Anolis sagrei: one gene and its partner. The protein of the gene in region 1 interacts with the protein of each later gene in a biochemical or structural test. Links are inferred from orthologs where the notes say so. Each region holds a gene or a part of one and is shown on either strand. Other genes may lie near its edges. The genes, in order: PBX1 and HOXB1.

Evidence for each region.
Region 2: the proteins of PBX1 (region 1) and HOXB1 are reported together in a solved structure, tested with the Homo sapiens proteins (2 studies listed by BioGRID and IntAct, with this or other methods). The link is inferred for Anolis sagrei from reciprocal best matches to the Homo sapiens genes PBX1 and HOXB1.

Annotation. Positions count from the first base shown.
Region 1 is NC_090024.1:131,831,928-131,842,659, reverse strand, and holds the start of PBX1 (pre-B-cell leukemia transcription factor 1), read right to left. Parts: upstream 5,615-10,732; 5' UTR 5,217-5,614; coding exon 5,014-5,216; intron 1-5,013. UniProt on the Homo sapiens protein: Transcription factor which binds the DNA sequence 5'-TGATTGAT-3' as part of a heterodimer with HOX proteins such as HOXA1, HOXA5, HOXB7 and HOXB8. Binds to the DNA sequence 5'-TGATTGAC-3' in complex with a nuclear factor which is not a class I HOX protein.
Region 2 is NC_090026.1:33,308,233-33,318,961, reverse strand, and holds the start of HOXB1 (homeobox protein Hox-B1), read right to left. Parts: upstream 5,310-10,729; coding exon 4,586-5,309; intron 1-4,585. UniProt on the Homo sapiens protein: Sequence-specific transcription factor which is part of a developmental regulatory system that provides cells with specific positional identities on the anterior-posterior axis. Acts on the anterior body structures.

The DNA of each region.
Region 1 (10,732 bases):
CTCCAATTTTTTTATTCTACCATACATTCCAATTTTTTTGCACAGATGCTGTTTCAGGAAAGACTGAAAAAATCCTTTGACGAGAAAAGCCAAGGTATAGAATTTCAGCTCTTAAGTTTAAAAATATAGCACTGCCAAGAAAAGCACATATGTAATTCAGCGAGGGGGAATTTGATTACTTTTATGCTCTTGTTTTACTGCTTTCTTATTTCAAGGTGTTAAACTCAGAATGCTTTTATAAAATTGAAATACGAAACATAATAACCAAAATATCTTACTGCCTTAGATAATAGATGAACAGCTAGAATGTATACGGTTTTCCTCCTTCCTCCCCAGCAGCACCAACTTTCTTGCAGCTGCTAGCATGTGAGGAATCTATTTATTAGGTTCATTAGTTTTATGTCCCAGTGGATGCCCATTTAGGGAAAGAAATGGGTTGTGGTGGTGCTAGTTATTATTATTTCATAGCCTCCTTAAAGTTATCCTTCCTAGAAAAGCTCTGTGAAGGTTTGTTACAATATGAAAAAGGTATAATTTAATCAGCGATCGGTTGAATAATGTTTTAAGCCAAAGCTACATGCCATGGAAATGTAAACACTTTGGTACCTAAGTCGGAAAAGCACAGAGCAACATCTCCTTTCATTGATTAGTAAGAAGCACAACCCAATGAGAGGTTCTTCATCAGAAGGTCTGTGAAGACTTTGGACAGTTCCTAATGTCTACAATGGGACTTATACAGGAAAACAACCCAGGGTGTTGTGCTCCATGTGACAAATCAATCTGCCCCCTCTTCCTCTGTTGCCTTTAGTGGCACCCCAAATCCTCTGCTTGAGAGGGCTGACATTCTTGTGCCACAGCTGGACTGCTTCTGTGTGTGCATCTGGTACACAAGCACTGCTTCTGTTTCCAGAATATGTATTTGGCCAGGCACTCAAGACAGTATAAAAAACCCCAGAAAGACTACAGCAACATCATCATCACTTCAATCTGACATCCCTGAAATACCTTAAAATATAGAACTAGTTGCTATAAGAAAAACAAAAATGCTTTTCTTATTTAAAAAATCTGTCAGTACTACAAGGAACATGTAAACATTAATCAGTTGGGGGGAAATCACGTCATTATCAATGTGTTGGCTTCCACCAAAAATACATTTATGCACAAAACATTTAATAACATAATACTCCTCCTTGCCTTTTCTTCAGCCATCCTGGGAAACACCGGCCAAAAGTTTGTTGAGATGGCATTTCTCAGTCTAACCATCATACTGAATTCGATGGATTTTCTACCAGTTGTTCTGATGTATTTTAATGATTTATGTGTTTAGCTAGTTTTAATTTTTATAGTGTAATCACTTTTAAATTTTGTATTTTGTGAATTTTAAAATATTTTTATGTTTTAAACTTTTTCAATCTTGGACTAGGAAAAAGATGAGATATAAAATATTTCTGAACAGACAGACAGACATGGGGCTCAAAGTGATTTGTTACAGCCTAATAAATGTGCAGTTTCCCAGCAATAGTTTATTATTGGTTACTCCACTGCATAATACAAAATGCAGATGTTGAAATACTGAGTTCTTCTTCAGGTAAAATCTAATTGACAGTGTGCCAGTCCCCTCCCTCCTTTCCCTTCTGTAAGATCATGTCTTTGTTTTTTGCATTTTTCAAATGGTGTTGCATATTACCGTTGAGGTAATGTTTTGCAAAATCCTTCATGCTTTACTTGCCAGATTCTGTTGAATGCCTTGTTTCTTTTTTAAGAAACACTATTTTTTAAAATAAAATGTGTAACATGAGACTATTAGAACTATTAAATCACCCAAATGGAAAAATACAATTGGAGATATACTGAAGCATTTCAAAATAAACCCAAGATCATTTTTAAATTCCTTCTCGTTCCATGAGCTCCAAGCTGTATGATGGCTTGTGTGACAAAGTGAACAAGTGAGAGATAACACAACAGAGCTGTGCAGCTTGCCTCATATTCCAGTGTCCTCAAGATATTCCGGTGGCTATTGTCACACAGCGATTTCCCCATGGTCACCTAACTGGAAATACCTTCTGTGTTCAACGGCTATAAGGATATGAATTAGCATTTTAGTGGTTGGTTTCTATTAGGCTCTGTATTCAATTAATAACCTTAAATCTGGTGTGTCTTGACACTGTGGAGAAAAGACAGACACCAAACACAGAGTCCCTTCCACATAGCTGTATAAAATCCACACTGAACTGGATTATATGGCTGTGGGGATTCAGATAACCCAGTTCAGTGCAGATATTCTGGGTTATATGGCTAAGTGGAAGGGCCCCAATTCTAACTAAAGCTGCAGTGTTTACCAATACAAAAGAAGAAAGCATGCTCTCCTCACAGGGAAGGCCACAGAGCAACAAGAAATGTGGGAGATCAAGTCCATTGATTTCCATCAGATTAGCTGAGTTTAACTTTTCTTTTCAGACTGTGGTTAAGGCCCCTTCCACACAGCTGTATAAAATCTCACATTATCTACTTTGAACCGGGGGCCTTTCCACACAGCCCTATATCCCAGAATATCAAGGCAGAAAATCCCATATTATCAGAGTGTGGATTCAGATAACCCAGTTCAAAGCAGATATTGTGGGATTTTCTGCCTTTATATTCTGGGATACAGGGCTGTGTGGAAGGGCCCTGGGTTATATGGCAGCGTGGACTCAGATAACCCAGTTCAAAGCAGATATTGTGGATTACCTACCTTGATATTTTGACTTATAGGGCTGTGTGGAAGGGTCCTAGGAGACTGAAATGGTAGTTATGACAGAGAAGGCCCCACTTACGCTGCCATTATCATGCATCCTTGCACCTTATTATATGGTCAGTATAGACTCATATAATCTAAAACGGCATTATAGGAGTGATTTAAATGATTGTGTTTATGTTTTAGTAATGCTGTAACTCATCTTGAGCCTTGAGGAGAGGCGGGCAAGAAATAAAAAATATCGAATTTTCTGGGCTATATGGCCAAGTTCCAGAAGCATTCCCTCCTGACATTTCACCCACATCTATGGCCGGCATCCTTTGAGGTTGTGAGGTCTGTTGGAAACCAGGCAAGTGAGTTTAATATATCTGTTGAATGTCTTTTCTTCCACTATTGGCTATTGCACAGATAGATAAACCTCACTTGCCTAGCTTCCAACAGACCTCACAACCTCTGAGGATGCTTGCCATAGATGTGGGTGAAACATCAGAAGAGAATGCTTCTGAAACATGGGCATACAGCCCGGAAAACTCACAGCAAACCAGTGATTCCGGCCATGACAGCCTTCGACAACACAAAATTATTTATTACTAGCCGTCCCCTACCACGTGTTGCTGTGGCCCAGTCTATGTATATGTGCTTTGTGTGTGCATATATTTTTGTATATGTGTGTTTGCGTGTATATATATATATATATATATATATATATGAGTGTGTGTGGTTTTGCGCATGCATTGTAATGTATTTTTTTTTGTAATGCTGTGTTTTTCAGTGTTTTTATGAGTTATGGTTACTCATTGGCCTGATAGGTGTATTGTGTCCAAATTTGGTGTCAATTCGTCCAGTGGTTGTTGAGTCATGTTAATCCCACAAACGAACGTTACATTTTTATTTATATAGATTATTATTATTATTACACTGAGCTTATAATGCAGTGCACCACCTGTATGGCCCCCCACGAGGGTCTTCCTTTAGGGGCAAACCAAGAATGGGCAACTTGGAAGTCCCTGAACATCCTCAGAAGTGGAGTGGGCAGATCAAAAGACAGCCTGGCAAAATGGCACTATGTAAAAGAATCCCACACCTTGTGTGACCGTGGAGCAGAACAGACAACTCTGCATCTGTATGCTTGTCCACTTTGCCCTGCCTCATGTACAGAGGAAGAATTGTTGGAGGCTACAGACAATGCAATAGCTGTTGCCCGTTTTTGGTCAAAAGATATTTAGCCACCTGCGCTCCTTCTATTTTTATCAGTTTGATACTAATTTGTGCAATGCTTTGGATACAAAATAAATAAATAAATAAATGCGCTGTAATGGCAGTGTAGCTTTTGATATGAAATAAATGCAGTGCAATCTGCAGTGTAGTTTCCAAAAGAGCAAACAAGGCTTACTGTTTTCCCCCCCAATGTCTCAATAACAAAAATCCTTGCTACTGACAGTCTTTCTGTGTGTTAGAAAATAAACCCATCTGTATGCTTGCCCACTATGCCCTGCCTCATGTACAGAGGAAGAATTGTTGGAGGCCACAGACAATGCAATTGCTGTTGCCCGTTTTTGGTCAAAATGTATTTAGCCGCCTGCGCTCCTTCTATTTTTATCGGTTTGATACTAATTTGTGCAATGCTTTGGATATGAAATAAATGAATAAATGCAGTGCAATTTATTTATTTATGCATATTTCACTGCAATGGCAATGTAGTTTCCAATAGAGCAAACAAGGCTTACTATTTCCCCACACACACATCTCAATGACAAAAATCCTGGCCACTGACAGTCTTTCTGTGTATTAGAAAATAAATCCTGAAGCTTTTCTCTATCTCAAAAACCACTAGTATAACGACTGAGATCTACAAAATAAATGAATAAATGCAGTGCAATCTGCAGTGTAGTTTCCAAAAGAGCAAAGAAGGCTCACTATCCCCCCCCCCCCCCCCCAATATCTCAATAACAAAAATCCTGGCCACTGACAGTCTTTCTGTGTATTAGAAAATAAACCCTGAAGCTTTTCTCTCTCTCTCTCTCTCAAAAATCACTAATATAAGGACTGAGATCTCAGCTGAGGAGCAGATGGATGCTGAAAGAGAACATCACCCCTAAAGCTGGACTTGGAGAAGGAGAGAGGGTGTGAGGGTTGCCTGGGAAAGGAATAAAGGGCTGCTTGGTTCCTGCAGGTCTCAAGACCCAACTTAGCCGAGCCAATCTCTCTCTCTTCAGGGATGTCTGAGGAGAAAGGAGGGAAGGGAAGGGAAGGGATGGGGAAGGGTCGGCCCTGCTCACCTGGCCTGCGCCTCGTCCAGGCTCTGGTCGGTGATGGTCATGATCTGCTGGAGGATGTCTCCGATGTCCTGCTTGCGCCCTCCGCCCTCGCTTTCGGCGGGCCCGGCCCCGTCGGGCAAGTGCTGCGCCAGGCCCGGGTGCCCGGCCATGCCCACCACCGCCGACGCCGCGTGAGAGTGCATCAGCCGGGGCTGGTCGTCCATGCTGGGCCCGCCGCGGGGCCCCCGACCAGGGGGGGCTCCTCAGGAGGACGAGGCGGCGGAGGCGAAGAAGAAGTCTCCCTCAGCTTTTCCCTCTTCCGCTTTTGTGTGTGTGAGGGAGAGAAAGAGTGGCGCTGGGAGACCCGCCGCTTAATCCCTCCTCAGCAAACCCGCCTCAGTCTGGACGGGAGAAGCCGCGCAAACTTTCCCTCAGCGAAGCAGGCGGGCGGGCGGGCGGCCCTCGTCGTGGCTGGCCCCTCCCTCGGGCGGCGCAACTCCTCCGCCGCCTTCCTCGCAGGACCCCGCTTTTGTTTGAGGCGCAGGACGGACGGAACACTGGGACTGGCACGGGAACGGCGGAGCCAGGCAGGAAGGAGCAGGAGAGGGAGGGAGGGAGGGAGAGGGAGGGGCCGAGGGCAGCGCTGCGAAGGGCGCCCCTCCGCTCTGATTGGCCGCCGCCGGCAACAGCGCCTAGCTCCGCCCCTTTCTCTGCTGCCATCATCAGCCGCCACCCAAAGCGGGTTCAGAGATAGGCGGCGGCGCGGAAGCTCCGGGCCCGAAGGGGGCAGGCGCGCGCTCGCCCTCCTCTCGCTCTCTCGCTCTCTTTCTCCCCCCCCCCCCCTCTTTCTCTTTCTCTCTGTAGCCGGTTTGTCCCGAGATCGATTTGACTCTTTTTTCCCTGCTTTTTCATCCCGATTCTGATCTGAGGAACTTTAGTCCCCAGAGTTAGAACTTACTTATTTATTTCCTGTCAAAAGTAGTGTATAAATATATTTTCGAAGGCTTGTTGTAGTTTTTTCGGGCTATATGGCCATGTTCTAGAGCAGTGGTTTATTTATTTATTTTATTTGGGGTTCTTGTACCCCGCCCTTCTCACCCCATAAGGGACCCAGGGCGGCTTACAACAGCAAAGGCACGCTTAGATGCCTGCCACACAAAACAATCATCACAAAAGTACAACAATTCATAGTTACCACAATTCATGCAATTATCCCAATAAAATTAGTAAAATCCATAAAATCAATACAAACCTAGTTCTTCCTCCTACCCTGTCAGTGTACACTAACTCATAGATCTGTTTTTGATTCCACTTCGACAATCCTGCTGATCTTGCTCGTCTGATTGTCTTATTTAATTGTCTTATTTAATTGCCTGGTTGCCCAAAGGCCTGGTCCCATAACCACTTCTTCATCCTCCTCCTGAAGGAGAGGAGGGATGATGATGCTCTGATTTCCCCCGGGAGTGAGTTCCACAGGTGAGGGGCCACCACTGAGAAGGCCCTGCTTCTCGTCCCCACCAGCCTCACTTGTGAAGGGAAATACGTTCGGACAGATACACTGGACCGGAACTGTACAGGGTTTTGTAGGTCAAAACCAGCACCTTGAATTGTGCTCGGAATTGAACCGGCAGCCAGTGGAGCTGACACAGCAGGGGGGTAGTGTGCTCCCTGTATGCTGCTCCAGTGGGCAATCTGGCTGCTGCTCGCTGGACTAGTTGAAGTTTCCGAACAGTCTTCAAGGGCAACCCCACATAGAGCGTGTTGCAGTAGTCTATTCAGGATGTAACAAGAGCATGGACCACCATGGCCAGATCAGACTTCCCAAGGTACGGGCGCAACTGGTGCACAAGTTTGAATTGCGCAAAAGCTCTCCCGGCCACCGCCGAGACCTGGGGTTCCAGGCTCAGCGATGAGTCCAGGATCACTCCCAAGCTGCGAACCTGAGTCTTCAGGGGGAGTGTAACCCCATCCAGTACAGGCTGTAACCCTATACCCTGTTCGGCCTTACGACTGACCAGTAGGACCTCTGTCTTGTCTGGATTCAATTTCAATTTGTTAGCTCTCATCCAGTCCGACACAGCAGCTAGACACCGAGTCAAGGTCTGGACAGCCTCCTTGGGGACAGGTGAGAAGGAGTGACAGATCTGGACATCATCTGCATAGAGATAACACCGCAGTCCGAAACTCCGAATGATCTCCCCCAGCGGCTTCATGTAGATATTAAACAACATTGGGGACAGAATTGATCCCTGAGGGACTCCACACGACAATGGCTGTGGGGCCGAACAGGTGTCACCCAGTAACACCTTCTGGGACCGTCCCTCAAGAAATGACCGGAGCCACTGCAAAGCAGTACCCCCGAGTCCCATCTCTATGAGTTGTCCCAGAAGGATACCATGATCGACGGTATCGAAGGCCTCTGAGAGGTCCAGCAGAACTAACAGGGACACACTCCCCCTGTCTAGCTCCCAGCGTAGATCATCTCCCAAGGCGACCAAGGCTGTTTCCGTTCCATGTCCCGGTCTAAAGCCAGACTGTGCCAGTTCTCAACCTTCCTAATGCCGCGACCCCTTAGTACAGTTCCTCACGTTGTGGTGACCCCCAACCATAACATTTTCATTGTTCCTTCGTAACTATAATTTTGCTACTGTTACGAATTGTAATGTAAATATCTAATATGCAGGATGTATTTTCAATTCCCAAATACCCAATATGCCCAAATTTGAATACTGGTGGGGTTGGGGGATTGATTTTGTCATTTGGGAGCTGTAGTTGCTGGGATTTATAGTTTACCTACAACCAAAGAGCCTTCTGAACACCACCAATGATGAAATTGAACCAAACTTGGTACACAGGACTCCCTTGACCAAGAGAAAATACTGGGAGGATCTGGTGGACATTGACCTTGAATTTTTGGAGTTGTAGTTCACCTACATCCAGAGAGCACTGTGGACTCAAACAATGATGGATCTGGACCAAACTTGGCACAAATACTCAATATGCTGAAATGTGAACACTGGGGGAGTTTGAGAAAAATAGACCTTAACATTTGGGAGTTGTAGTTGCTGGGATTTATAGTTCACCTACAACGAAATAACATTCTGAACCACACCAACGATAGAATTGGACCAAACTTTGGACCACCAGTTTGAGGGAGTGTGACCTGGCCCTCTGCATTGTGGGGAAGCATACAGATGTGAAGTTATTTGTTATGCTTCACAATCGCACAAGGTGGGGGATTCTTCTAGGTAGTGCCATTTTGCCTGGTTGTCCAGGCAATATATTATATTACATTATATTGCATTATATTATACTATATTATATTATATTATTATATTATTAGCATAGCACAGGAGACAAAGTGGAACTGTCCCCTGGCCCCCTCTCTCTTCACTCTGGCCCAGAGCAGCAATTGGTGCTGGGGAGAGGGGTCCCTAACTGATTATTATTTAACCTCAGCAGAATGAAAGCCAAAACCAAGGTCACAACAACTGTTATAGAACTCCAATATGTTGATGATAATGTGGTCTGCGCCCATTCAGAAGAGACCTACAAGCCACTCTAAACACCTTTGCAGAAGCATACAAGAAGTTTGACCTCTCACTGAACATCGAGAAAACCAAAGTGCTTTTTCAACACACACTATCCAATTATTATTTGCAAGTCACAAGTGCAGTTAGTAGAGAAGAGAGACAGGGCCTTCTCTGTGGGGGCCCCTTGGCTCTGGAACTCCTTCCCCAGCAAGATTAGATCAGCGCCCTCCCTCCTGACCTTTAAAAAAAGATCAATATATGGTTTTGGGACCAAGCTTTTGGTTATTAAAATAATGCAGTACAAAGAATAATTAAGGAACATGTGCAATGACAATTCAGAATGGCTATGGTGTACAATTTTTGGATCATGTGATTTTAACAATTATACTAGGACGATTTTAATATTTCATCTGAATCTTTAAATTTTATTTATATCTTATGTTTGTTTTATTTTTGTGTGTTTTACATTGTTTTTTACTGTAGGTTGGCATTGAATTTTTGCCATACTATGTTGTAAACAGCCTTAAGTCCCCCCAGGGGTGAGAAAGGTGGTATATAAATACAATAAATAAATAAATAAATAAATAAATAAATAAATATTATTATTATTATTTATACCCTGCTTTCTATCTCCATATGGAGACTCAAGGCAGCTCCCAATTAAAAGTATTACAAATTGATCACCAATTCTAAAATCGATCACCACTTCTTGTTTCCACAACGTGCCACATTTTTCAAAATCCAGATATTACAGGAATAGAAAGTGATTTGAAATCTTTTAAATAAGGTCATAGATAGCAAAGCAACCCTTTCATATGCTATCTAAAGTATATATGTCTGTGTGTCTACACACACTTTGAATAGCATAGGGTATAGAGAGAGAGAGAGAGAGAGAGAGATAGTTTGGTGGAAGTTACACTTAGAAATGCACCTGTTCTGACTTACACACAAATTCGACTTAAGGTCAAAGCTATAGAACCTGTCTTGTTCATAATTTGGAGACTGCCTGTATAGCATAGTAACAAACAAAGAAAATCAAAGTATAGTAGCAAGATTCATCTTTCCATTAATAGAAATGAGAATTGTGCAGCTTTAAAAAGAGAATATTTAATTTATCCAGTTTGTTCTCGGCCTCCATGTCTTTCTCAGCTTGAAACTACAAAGGAAAAACAGAAAGTATCCAATAAAATGATCAGTAGTACAATTTAATTTTTTCATAATACTGAACAACTGTTACTATTTGGTCATGATGTGAACAACAAACCTAATGGATCTGCCTAGTGGAAGAGTTCCAGTTCATTACAACTGCCAGTGTCATTTTTGTTGCATTTTTCTATAGGAAAGATTATGGTCATTTAGGGCAAGGCTACTTAAACTTTTTCTACTTGTGACCCCTTTTTGCTCAATAATTTTTTACAGAACCCCAGGTATATAAGTATATAAAATAGGTATACAAATCAAACATTCACTGAAAATAAATAATAAAGAAATGCATTTTAAACAGTTATTTGATATACATATAATTTTACTATTTATTAAAGATGAAAGCAAATTTGCATACTATTGAAGTGGATGTGCTTATTTTTTAATACATAAAGAATTAAACCTTGGCTGAATATTTGATGCTGCAGGCTGTAGAGCAGTGTTTCTCAACCTGGGGGTCGGGACCCCTGTGGGGATCGTGAGGGGGTGTCAGAGGGGTCGCCAAAGACCATTAGAAAACACAGTATTTTCTTTTGGTCATGGGGGTTCTGTGTAGAAAGTTTGGCCCAATTCTATCATTTGGTCCAGATCCATCATTGTTTGAGTTTTGCTCTTAGATTGCTTTTTGATTGTTGGTGAACTATAAATCCCGGAGCCCCCAGTGGCGCAGTGGGTTAAACTGTTGAGCTGCTAAAACTTGTTGACTGAAAGGTTGCAGGTTCGAATCTGGGGAGCTGCATGAGCTTCCACTGTTAGCCTCAGCTTCTGCCAACCTAGCAGTTCAAAAACATGCAATTGTGAGTAGATCAATAGGTACCGCTCCAGCGGGAAGGTAGCAGTGTTCCTTGCAGTCATGCTGGCCACATGACCTTGGAGGTGTCTATGGACAACGCTGGCTCTTCGGCTTAGAAATGGAGACGAGCACCAATCCCCAGAGTTGGACATGACTGGACTTAATGTCAGGGGAAAATCTTTACCTTTACTTATAAATTCCAGCAACAACA
Region 2 (10,729 bases), on another chromosome or scaffold:
GTCAGGAGAGAATGCTTCTGGAGCAGCCCGGAAAACTCTCAGCAGCCCAGTATTTATATAGTTGATTTTCCCTAACTGAAGCAAACAATCAGACTAAGGTTAATATTAACCAACCAAACACCTCGCCCCATGTTGCATCACAAATGTAATTGTTTTGTTGTATAATCCTTCCCTTTGATTGATTGCTAAATAAACCGATAACTTCACAAGGTGGGGAAACGAAATCTGGGTCTAGCTTCCAGGGATTGAGGCCCCTTCTACATTGCCCTATATCCCAGGATCTGATCCCAGATTATCTGCTTATATATGAGTCTCCACTGCCAGGTAAACTGGGACACCTTCCCCGTTTGATAAAACCCCACATTATCTGCTTTGAACTGAGATATATGGCAGAGTGGACTCAGATAACCCAGTTCAAAGCAGATATTCTGGGATTTAATGTATTGTGGAAGGCTTTCATGGCAGGGATCACTGGATTGTGGCGAGTTTTCTGGGCTATATGGCCATGTTCCAGAAGCATTCTCTCCTGACCTTTTTCCTGGATCCGATAGAGGACCTCACAACCTTTGAGGTTGCCTGCCATAGATGCAGGTGAAACGTCAGGAGGGAATGCTTCTGGAACATGGCCATACAGCCCGGAAAACTCACAACAACCCATTGTGGGATTTTTCTACCTTGATATTCTGAGTTATATGGCTGTGTGGAAGGGCCCTAGGATAAACAGATAACCTGGGATCAGATCCTGTGATATAGGGCAGTATGGAAAGGACCTCAGTCCAAGCTGGCAAATATCCTGATAAAGGAGACCTCTACTCCCTATAGAAGCAATAGTAATATTACATATTATTATTAATATTACATATTAATAATAATAATATTACATATTATTAGTAGTAATATTACATACTGTTAATATTAACATTAATAGTAATATTATAATATTCTGTAATATTATAGAAAAGTACACCTTGAGGTCTGGAAACATGACTATTCGTTGCTGCGTTTGACTCTAGGATTGCTTAGTGATGAAGGAATTAAACTCTGCACCAGGTTGGAGGCATTACAAATGGGTCCTCAGCTTGCCCTTAAAGTCACCCCAAATGTCTTAATTCAGCATAACCACCCCATCCCTAAATCTCATTGTAAATCCTGGGGATGAGCCTCCTTGGCTTTATGTGGAGTTAAAATAAAGCCAGAACCTCAAATCTAGACCCCCATTGATCCCTATTAGAGGAGATTCATCCAATCAAAGCAGTTTGCAGAAGTGTTATTTCTGATTCCAGTCTGGTTTGGATGAGCAATGGACCAGAGCTAGAAAGTTGGGCTAAACGAATAAAACTACAACTCCCAGGATTTCATAGCACTGAGCCATGGCAGTTAAAGTGGTGTCACACTGCTTTCATTCTACAGTGCAAAGGAACCCTCTATAGTTGTATTGTTTGTGTTTTTGTTTGTTTGTTTTGTTCTTGCACAAAGAAGCCTTCAGATATCCCGAAGCCATTTGCACAACGATGGAACTCAGGCCCCTTCCACACAACTGAATAAAATCCCACATTATCTACTTTGAATTGGAATATATGGCAGTGTGGACTCAGATAATCCCCTTCAAAGCAGATCTTGTGGGATTTTCTGCCTTTATATTCTGAGTTATATGGCTGTGTGGAGGGCTCTCGTTTTCCCCTTCTCCATATAGAGAATTGTGTTTGGGCTCAAGGTACCCAACAAAATTCAGTGCTGAAATTGGCTTTCCTTAAATCAGGACTTTCCCATTTTGAACTGATGAAGCCTACAGGAGTGAATAATTGAGGTATGCTTGTGGGAAGTGTCTCTCTTTCTGCTTATTCTTGTACCTTGACTCACTGTAAAGCTCTTTTAGGATCAGAAACTACAACTACTTCTGGGGATTCTGGGATCCATAGTCTTAAAGGGAACTTTCCTGAGCACTGAGATCCTTTGTGTCCATAGCTTTTATTGTTCTAGATCTTGTGTAAGATAGTTCTCATTCCCTAAACCTGGAGATAACTCTGTTGTGGTCTGTGGCAATGGACCATCTTCTCAAACAGAACCATTTTCAAGGAAAACAAACTTATTTCGTAGTGAGCAAAGACCCAAAGGTTGGTGTCGCAAAGAATGAACGAAATACCAGTGTGTATGTGTGTGTTGGGCCTAGAGGGGTTGGGGGTGAGGAGAAAGGCGCACTTTCCCTTTAGTCTAAGCCAACTCCTGTCCCCTCCTTTGATTGATGTGGAAGCTCTCTTTTTTGTTGAGAGCTCTCCATAGAGCCCACGAAAAAAGGCATACTGTGATATTTGGATGGCAAATACATGAAACTTAATGGAACTAAAGTTTCTAATATCCAAATTGTGGGATGGGAAAGTCACCCTTGTTCTGTGACTAAATGGTTATTTCTCTGGGGTGAGCAATATTTTCTGTCTTGGTTTACCATATGAACCAATTCAGTCTCTTAAATGCCCTAAAAGGGTCAGATCCGTTCTGATTTTGGAAGCTAAGTAGGATCAGCTCTGGTTAGTACTTGGACAGGAGACTACCAATGAATACTAGGTGCTGTAGACTATATTTCAGAGCTAAGGAGTCAAGCTTAGAGATTGGACCTACACTGCCCTATATCTTAGGACCTTATCACAGATTGTTTGGCAGTGTAGACTCATATAATCCAGTTCAAAGCAGATAATCTGGGATAAGATCCTGGGATATAGGGCAGTGTACATCCAACCTGAGTATCCCTTGCCTAGGAAAGCCCGACAAACCGTGGACAAGCTTGGAGTTACAAACACTTCCCTTTCCTGCAGTTTTTACCCTTTTCTTCTGGACCAGGGCATCAGGCAAGGATGCTGGTCTTCTTTCTTCCTTCTACAATCTTTGGAAGCATCATCCCCATCCCATCCTCTTCCTTATACATTCCCTTCTCCCAATCTAACCTCTTCCCTAGAGTAGTTAGACTGACAAAGGGAAAAACCTGCTATTCTGGATATAACTGGTGGCAAAGCAGGTCTTGGAAAGGCATCTAAGCAAAGGAGAGAACTATTTGTGGCCAAGAGAGAATTAGGATCTTCCAGATCCCCAGTCATGCTGGCTAGGGGTGTTCTTAGGCGTCTTCCACACAGCTGAATGAAATCCCACATTTTCTGCTTTGAACTGGGATATATGGAAGTGCGGACTGAGGGCCCTTCCACACAGCCATATAACCCAGAATATCAAAGCAGAATAACCCACAATATCTGCTTAGAACTGGGTTATTTGAGTCCACATTGCCATATATCCCAGTTCAAAGCAGATAATGTGGAATTTTATTCAGCTGTGTGGAAGGGGCCTCAGATAACCCACTTCAAAGCAGATATTGTGGGATTTTCTGCCTTGATATTCTGGGTTATATGGCTGTTTGGAAGGGGCCTTAGAGTTGTAGTCGGAAAAGAACCCCTCTCCCAAGTTTGGTCATAGTTACATCTCCAGGAAGGGAGATGCTTCTCTTGGGATGCTTTGAGGTACAACAAGGTGGGAGTCAACCTGGATGCTTCTCACACCAGAAGCGTTATCAACCCGCTCCTGACACACACACACACAAACCCCTGGGTGCAGTGTAGAAGGAGGTGGCTTCCTGAACCCTACATTTCTCCCCTTCTCTTGGGGCCCTTCCACACAGCCCTATATCCCAGAATATCAAGGCAGAAAATCCCACAATATCTGCTTTGAACTGAGATATCTGAGTCCACACTGCCATATATCCCAGTTCAAAGCAGAAAATGTGGGGTTTTATTCAGTTGTGTGGAAGGGGCCTTAGAGTTGTAGTCCAAAAATAATCCCTCTCCCAAGTTTGGTCATAGTTACATCTCCAGTAAGGCAGATGCTTCTGTTGGGATGCTTTGAGGTAGGACAAGATGGGGGTCAAACTGGATGCTTCTGACACCAGAAGAGACTTACAGTTTCTCGAGTCGCTCCTGACACCATTTCTCCCCTTCTCTTGGGGCTCTTCCACACAGCCCTATATCCTAGAATATCAAGGCAGAAAATCCTACATTATCTGCTTTGAACTGGGTTATTTGAGTCCTAACTCAGGGCCCTTCCGCACAGCCCTAGATCTGCTTTGAACTGGGTTATTTGAGTCCACACTCAGGGCCCTTCCGCACAGCCCTATATCCCATAAAATCAAGGCAGAAAATCCCACAATAGCTGCTTTGAACTGGATTATTTGAGTCCACACTCAGGGCCTTTCCACGCAGCCCTATATCCCTGAATATCAAGGCAGAAAATCCCACAATATCTGCTTTGTACTGGGTTATTTGAGTCCAAACTCAGGGCCTTTCCACACAGCCCTATATCTCCGAATAGCTAGGCAGAAAATCCCACAATAACTGCTTTGAACTGGATTATTTGAGTCCACACTCAGGGCCTTTGCACACAGCCCTATATCCCAGAATATCAAGGCAGAAAATCCCACAATATCTGCTTTGAACTGGGTTATCTGAGTCCACACTCAGATATTGTGGGATTTTCTGCCTTGTTATTCTGGGATATTGGGCTGTGTGGAAGGGCCCCAGGTTTCCCAAAAGTGCTGCCTGGGAGTTACCTGTTTTGGGGGGATTCCTTTTCACCTTCATCCAGTCGAAGGTTTGGCTGGTGGCGTTGGCAGCCTCCCCGTGTTGGGTCAAAGAGGCAGCCCTGGGGTCTTTGTGCTCAGGTAAAGGGGGCGAGAGGTTGCCGAAAGGGAAATAGCCGCCTTGTTCAGCCCCATAGAGGTGGGGTGGCTGGAACTGGCCCGTGGGATCGGCGCAGAAGCTGTCAGGTAGGCTCCCCAGGCCCGAAGCAGAAGAAGGAGAGGCCGAAGAAGAAGAGGGAGGCGTGGAGGGGGCCGCCAAAGCCACCGGGTAGGCCGAAGGCTGGTGGAAGTAGGCTCCCTCCGTCTCTGGGGGGCCGAGGTAGAACTGTTGGTTGAGGAAGCCTGCTCCGTAGAAGCCCCCACCGCCTGCCCCAGGCTGGGAGGACCGGGCGAAGGGGACACCAAGGCCAGTGGGGTTGGGAGGCAGTTGATGCTGGTGGTGCTGATGGTGGTGGAAGCTCTGTTGGGCGCTGGGTCCAGCAGCAGGGCCCACCCCAGCCGCCTCATAGCGTCCGTCTGAAGTGTAGCTGTCAAAAGCTGGAGAAGCACCGGGACCAGATGGGAAAGAAGGGGCTCCTGGGTCGAAGGGCTGCTGCTGCTGCTGTTGGGTCTGCTGCTGGTGAGGGTGGAAGTCCTTGGGCGCGTAGGCGCTCGTCCCACGGTTACAAATTGCATAGTCTAAGAAGAAGTTCATTCTAGGTATTGTTCCGGTGCCAATGATGGAAGAGGGTCGCCCTGTTTTACGGGGATTTCTTCTGCCCTACAACCTTTGGATAGTATGTCAAAGTTAAAGGGGGGAGGGAAAGGGAAGCGAGCCAGGGAGAAGGAGAGAGAGTCCCTTCCCATCTATGGACCTCGACTCCAGGAGCCCCCATATCCCCACCCCGCCTTCCTAGAGCCTTCAGAAAGGGACTCTTGGAAGAGGTTTGGGGGGGGGTGTAGAGTGTGTGGGGTTGGGGGTAGGGTGGAAAGGGGGTCCGGACCACGTGGTGGCTTTGGAGCCCAATGAGCAAAGGCCTCCCGAAGTTTGTCAGATATCTACCATCATCCATCAAGTCCTTGGCATTTGCATGACAAAGGAACTTCAATCAAACTTTTCCCCATCGATCTGATTAACAACACGGAGGTGTCAAAGGGGGTGTGTGTGTTTCTTCTCCCCCCTCCCCCCTTAGAGAGGAGAAGAAGAAGAAGAAGGGCAGAAAAGGAAGTGATAGAAGAAGGATGGGGGAGGAGAAGTTAGCACTATGCCAGGTCCCTTCTATGTGTTAAAAAGTCACTCTTCTCTGTGTTGCCGAAGGTTTCCATGCCCCGAATCACTGTGAGTTTTCTGGGCTGTATGGCCATGTTCCAAAAGCATTCTTTCCTGACGTTTCACCTACATCTATGGCAGGCATCCTCAGAGGTTGTGAGATCTATTGGAAACTAGGCAATTGAGGGTTTATGTAACTTTGGAATGTCCAGGATGGGAGAAAGAACTCTTGTCTGTTTGAGGCAAGTGTAATTGTTGCAATTGGCCATCTTTATTATAAATTAATGGCCTTGTAGCTTCAAAGCCTGGCTGATTGCTGCCCAGGGATCCTTTGTTGGGAGATATTAGCTGCCCCTGATTTATTCTTGTCTGGAATTCTCCTGGTTGTTTTTTTTTTGTTTTGTTTTGTTTTGGTTTTTTTGGGGGTTTTTTGGGGGTTTATTTATTTATTTATTTTTAGTGTTGCTCTTTGTTTGTCTCGGCTGCTGTGAGTTTTCCGGGCTGTATGGCCAAATTCCAGAAGCATTCCCTCCTTCATTTTCCCTTCATTTATGGTAGGCATCCTCAGCGGTTGAGAAGACAGAACTCTTGTCTGTTTGAGGCAAGTGTGAATGTTGCAATTGAATGTGGTAGAGGCTCCTTCTTTGGAAGATTTTAAACAGAGTCAGTGGTTCTCAACCTGGGGTCCTCAGATGTTTTTGGCCTACAACTCCCAGAAATCCCTGCCAGTTTACCAGCTGTTAGGATTTCTGGGAGTTGAAGGCCAAAAACATCTGGGGACCCCAGGTTGAGAACCACTGGGCATATGGCCATCTGTCGGGGGTGCTTTGAATGCAATTTTCCTGCTTCTTGGCAGGGGGTTGGACTGGATGGCCCACGAGGTCTCTTCCAATTCTATGATTCTATTACTACCTTGATTAGCATTGAATAGCCTTTCAGCTTCAAGCTCTGGCTGCTTACTGCCTGGGGGCAGGTATTAGCTGGCCCTGATTGATTCATTTCAGAGCACAGTACTTCCCTTGGCGGCCAGACCTTGAAGCTGAAAGGTTATTCAATGCTAATCAAAGTGACAGATTGCAACATTCACACCTGCCTCAAACACACAAGAGTTCTTTGAGAACACAAGAATGCTGGACCACTGTAACAACTACCATGTTAGACTACACAGAGAAGTCACTGAAATCCACAACCATGTGGACAATTTCAACAGAAAGGAGGAAACCATGAAAATGAACAAAATCTGGCTACCAATATTAATAAAACTCTACAATCAGGACAGTAAGTAAAGAACAACACTAAAAAAGGATTCCAGACATGAAGAAATCAGGGCCAGCTAACAGTTCCCGACAAAAGGTTCCCCTAGGCAGTAAGCAGCCAGACCTTGAAGCTGAAAGGCTATTCAATGCTAATCAAGGTGGCCAATTGCAACATTCATACCTGTCTCAAACACACAAGAGTTCTTTGAGAACACAAAAATATTGGACCACTGTAACAACTACCATGTCAGACTACACAGAGAAGTCACTGAAATCCACTACCATGTGGACAATTTCAACAGAAAGGAGGAAACCATGAAAATGAACAAAATCTAGCTACCAGTATTAAAAAAAAACCTCTAAAATCAGGACAGTAAATAAAGAACAACACTCAAAAAACAGGGGGATTCCAGACATGAAGAAATCAGGGCCAGCTAACAGTTCCCGACAAAGGATTCCCCCAGGCTTTGAAGCTAAAAGGCTATTCAATGCTAATCAATGTGGCCAATTGCAACATTCACATCTGCCTCAAACAGACAAGAGTTTTTTTCTCCCACTCTGGAAATTCTACAGATATATAAACCCAATTGCCTAGTTTCCAACCTCTGAGAATGCCTGCCATAGATGCAGGCGAAACGTCAGGAAATAATGCTTCTGGAACATGGCCATGCAGCCCGGAAAACTCGTAGCAACCCATTCTTCTCTCCCCGAATTCCAGTTCCTATAAAGGTGGCAAAAATCATCACAACTTTCCATTGGGAGAGAAGAGTTTGGCTCCCCTTCCAACTTGAGGAGACTCAGTATGGCGAGGGTGGGAAGAGGAAAGAGCGACAGAGGAGAGGATGCTTTCCCTCCCCTCGTTACAAGAAATTAATCACCGAAAAGCTACTTCCACGTTTATGGAGTTTGCTTAAAGTGCTTTTGTTGCTGTCCCTTCAAGGGGAAAAAAATAGAAATAAAATCCCAAGCCCCCGAATAGCTTCGCTCTGCGCCTCCCTCGCCTTTGTGTCTAGAAGCGGAGTGCTTAAGAGCAATTTAATTCAATCAACATTCTAATGAGTTGTGAAATAAAGTTAGAAATGCAATTTGCCTTTTGTTGAAAGAGGGGTGGGGGTGGGGAGAGCCCAAACGAAATTGAAACGCGATCTACCCTATCCATCCATCTCTCTAAGTCTAAGCCATCTCTCCCTGCATTGGTGTTGTGGTTCATTTTCATCCCTCTCCACCTCGAGTTTTTCACACGATTTCTCACCCTTGTTCCTTTCTCCTCAGAAACTATTATGACAGCGTGTTGTGGAAGGCTTTCATGGCCGGAATCACTGGGTTGCTGTGAGTTTTCCTGGGCTGTATGTCCATGTTCCAGAAGCATTCTCTCCAGACGTTTCGCCTGCATCTATGGCAGGCATCCTCAGAGGTTGTGAGGTCTGTTGGAAACTAGGCAAGAGGGGTTTATATATCTGTGGAAAGTCCATATATCAAGGGAACCATTGACAGCATTGGGAAGCTGATGAATAAACACAACCTACAAACAAATCTACAGATCCCCTACAACAGCCTTTCTCAACCTGAGGGTTGAGACCCCTGGGGGGGGGGGGGGGGTCGTGAGGGTCGCTAAAGACAATCAGAAAAAACAGTATTTTCTGTTGGTCATGAGGATTCTGTGTGGGAAGTTTGGCCCAATTCTATAACTGGTGGGATACAGAATGCTCTTTGATTGTAAGTGAACTATAGGTCCCAGCAACTACAACTCCAAAATGTCAAGATTTATCCCCCCCCCCCCCCCCAACTCCACCTGTGTTAACATTTGGGCATATTGAGGATTCATATCGAATTTGGTCCAGATCCATCATTGTTTGAGTCCACAGTGCTCTCTGGATGTAGGAGAACTACAACTCCCAAACTCAAGGTTAGTACCCATCAAACCCAGTATTTTCTGTTGGTCATGGAAGTTTTGTGTGTCAAGTTTGGTTCAATTCCATTGTAGGTGGACTTCAGAATGCTCTTTGATTGTAGGTGAACTATAAATCCCAGCAACTACAACTCCCAATGACAAAATCAATCTCCCTAACCCCACCAGTATTCAAATTTGAATGTTTTGGGTATTTGTGCCCAAACTGGTCCAGTGAATGAAAATACATCCTGCATATCAGATATTTGCATTATGATTCATAACAGTAGCAAAATTACAGTTATGAAGTAGCAACAAAGATAATGTTATGGTTGGGGGTCACCACAACATGAGGAACTGTATTAAGGGGTTGTGGCATTAGGATGGTCGAGAACCACTGCAGCAAGAAAACCCAACAAATGCTATTTTCAGCAAAGGACAAGAGGGATCCTCTCACCTCTGCAGGAGTCTACCATAAACCATGCAGCGCTGGACAAGTCCACATAGGAACCACCAAATGCAGGATTGCCCAGACACAAATAAAGGAATAATGAAAGGCACGCAGATTAACTCAACCTGAGAAGTTAGTCATAGCAGAGCTTGAAAACAACAATCCCTATTTTTTGTGCTGGTGAAAAGTTCTAGCAAACTTGAAAGCATACACCTTTCTGTCACAGCATATTCTTTCAGAACACAGAAATGTTGGACCACTCTAACAACCACCATATCAGACTACACAGAGAAGCCACTAAAACCCACAAGCATGTGGACAATTTCAACAGAAAGAAGGAAACTATGAAAATGAACAAAATCTGGCTACCATATTTTTAAAAAATCTAAAATCAGGACAGTAAATAAAGAGCAACATTCAGAAAAGAGGGGAATTCCAGACAGAAAACAAGGTCAGCTAACACCTCCTAACAAAGGATTCCCTCAGGAATTAAGCAGCCAGTCCTTGAAACTGCAAGGCCTTTCAATGCTAATCAAGATGGCCAGTTGCTACATTAACACTTGCCTCAAACAGACAAGAGTTCTTTTACCCACCCTGGACTTTCCACAGATATAGGAGGGTTCAATGAAAAGTAATGCCTCCACCTCAATAGATGGCAGTACTGGTATGTGGCAGGTACTGTCTTGTTCAGTAGACTTTCCTCTACAGTTCCATTTTGGCAGGAAGCCTTAGCATTCTATTGTCGAAGGCTTTCATGGCTGGAATCACTAGGTTCTTGTGGGTTTTTTTGGGCTATATAGCCATGTTCTAGAGGCATTTTCTCCTGACATTTCACCTGCATCTATGGCAAGCATCCTCAGAGGTAGTGAGGACCTCACTACCTCTGAGAATGCTTGCCATAGATGCAGGCGAAACGTCAGGAGAAAATGCCTCTAGAACATGGCTATATAGTCCGAAAAAACCCACAAGAACCTAGCCTTAGCATTGAGCGGTTAGTCAATGTGACTGCAACCATTGAATTCTTGACAGCAGAAGGTATCACCCCAAGGATGCACAGTACTTACATCAACACAGTTTGCATAAGCTGATGAATCTTCTTTGGGATGACATTTTCTGCTGTCAAGAATTCAATGACTGCACACTGCTTAAGTCGCATTGACCAACTGTCTGTGCAGGGTTCCATACTTCACACTTTAACAGCACAACTGTTCAATGCTAAGGCTTCCTGCCAAAATGGAACTGTAGAGGAGAGTCTACTGAACAAGCCAGT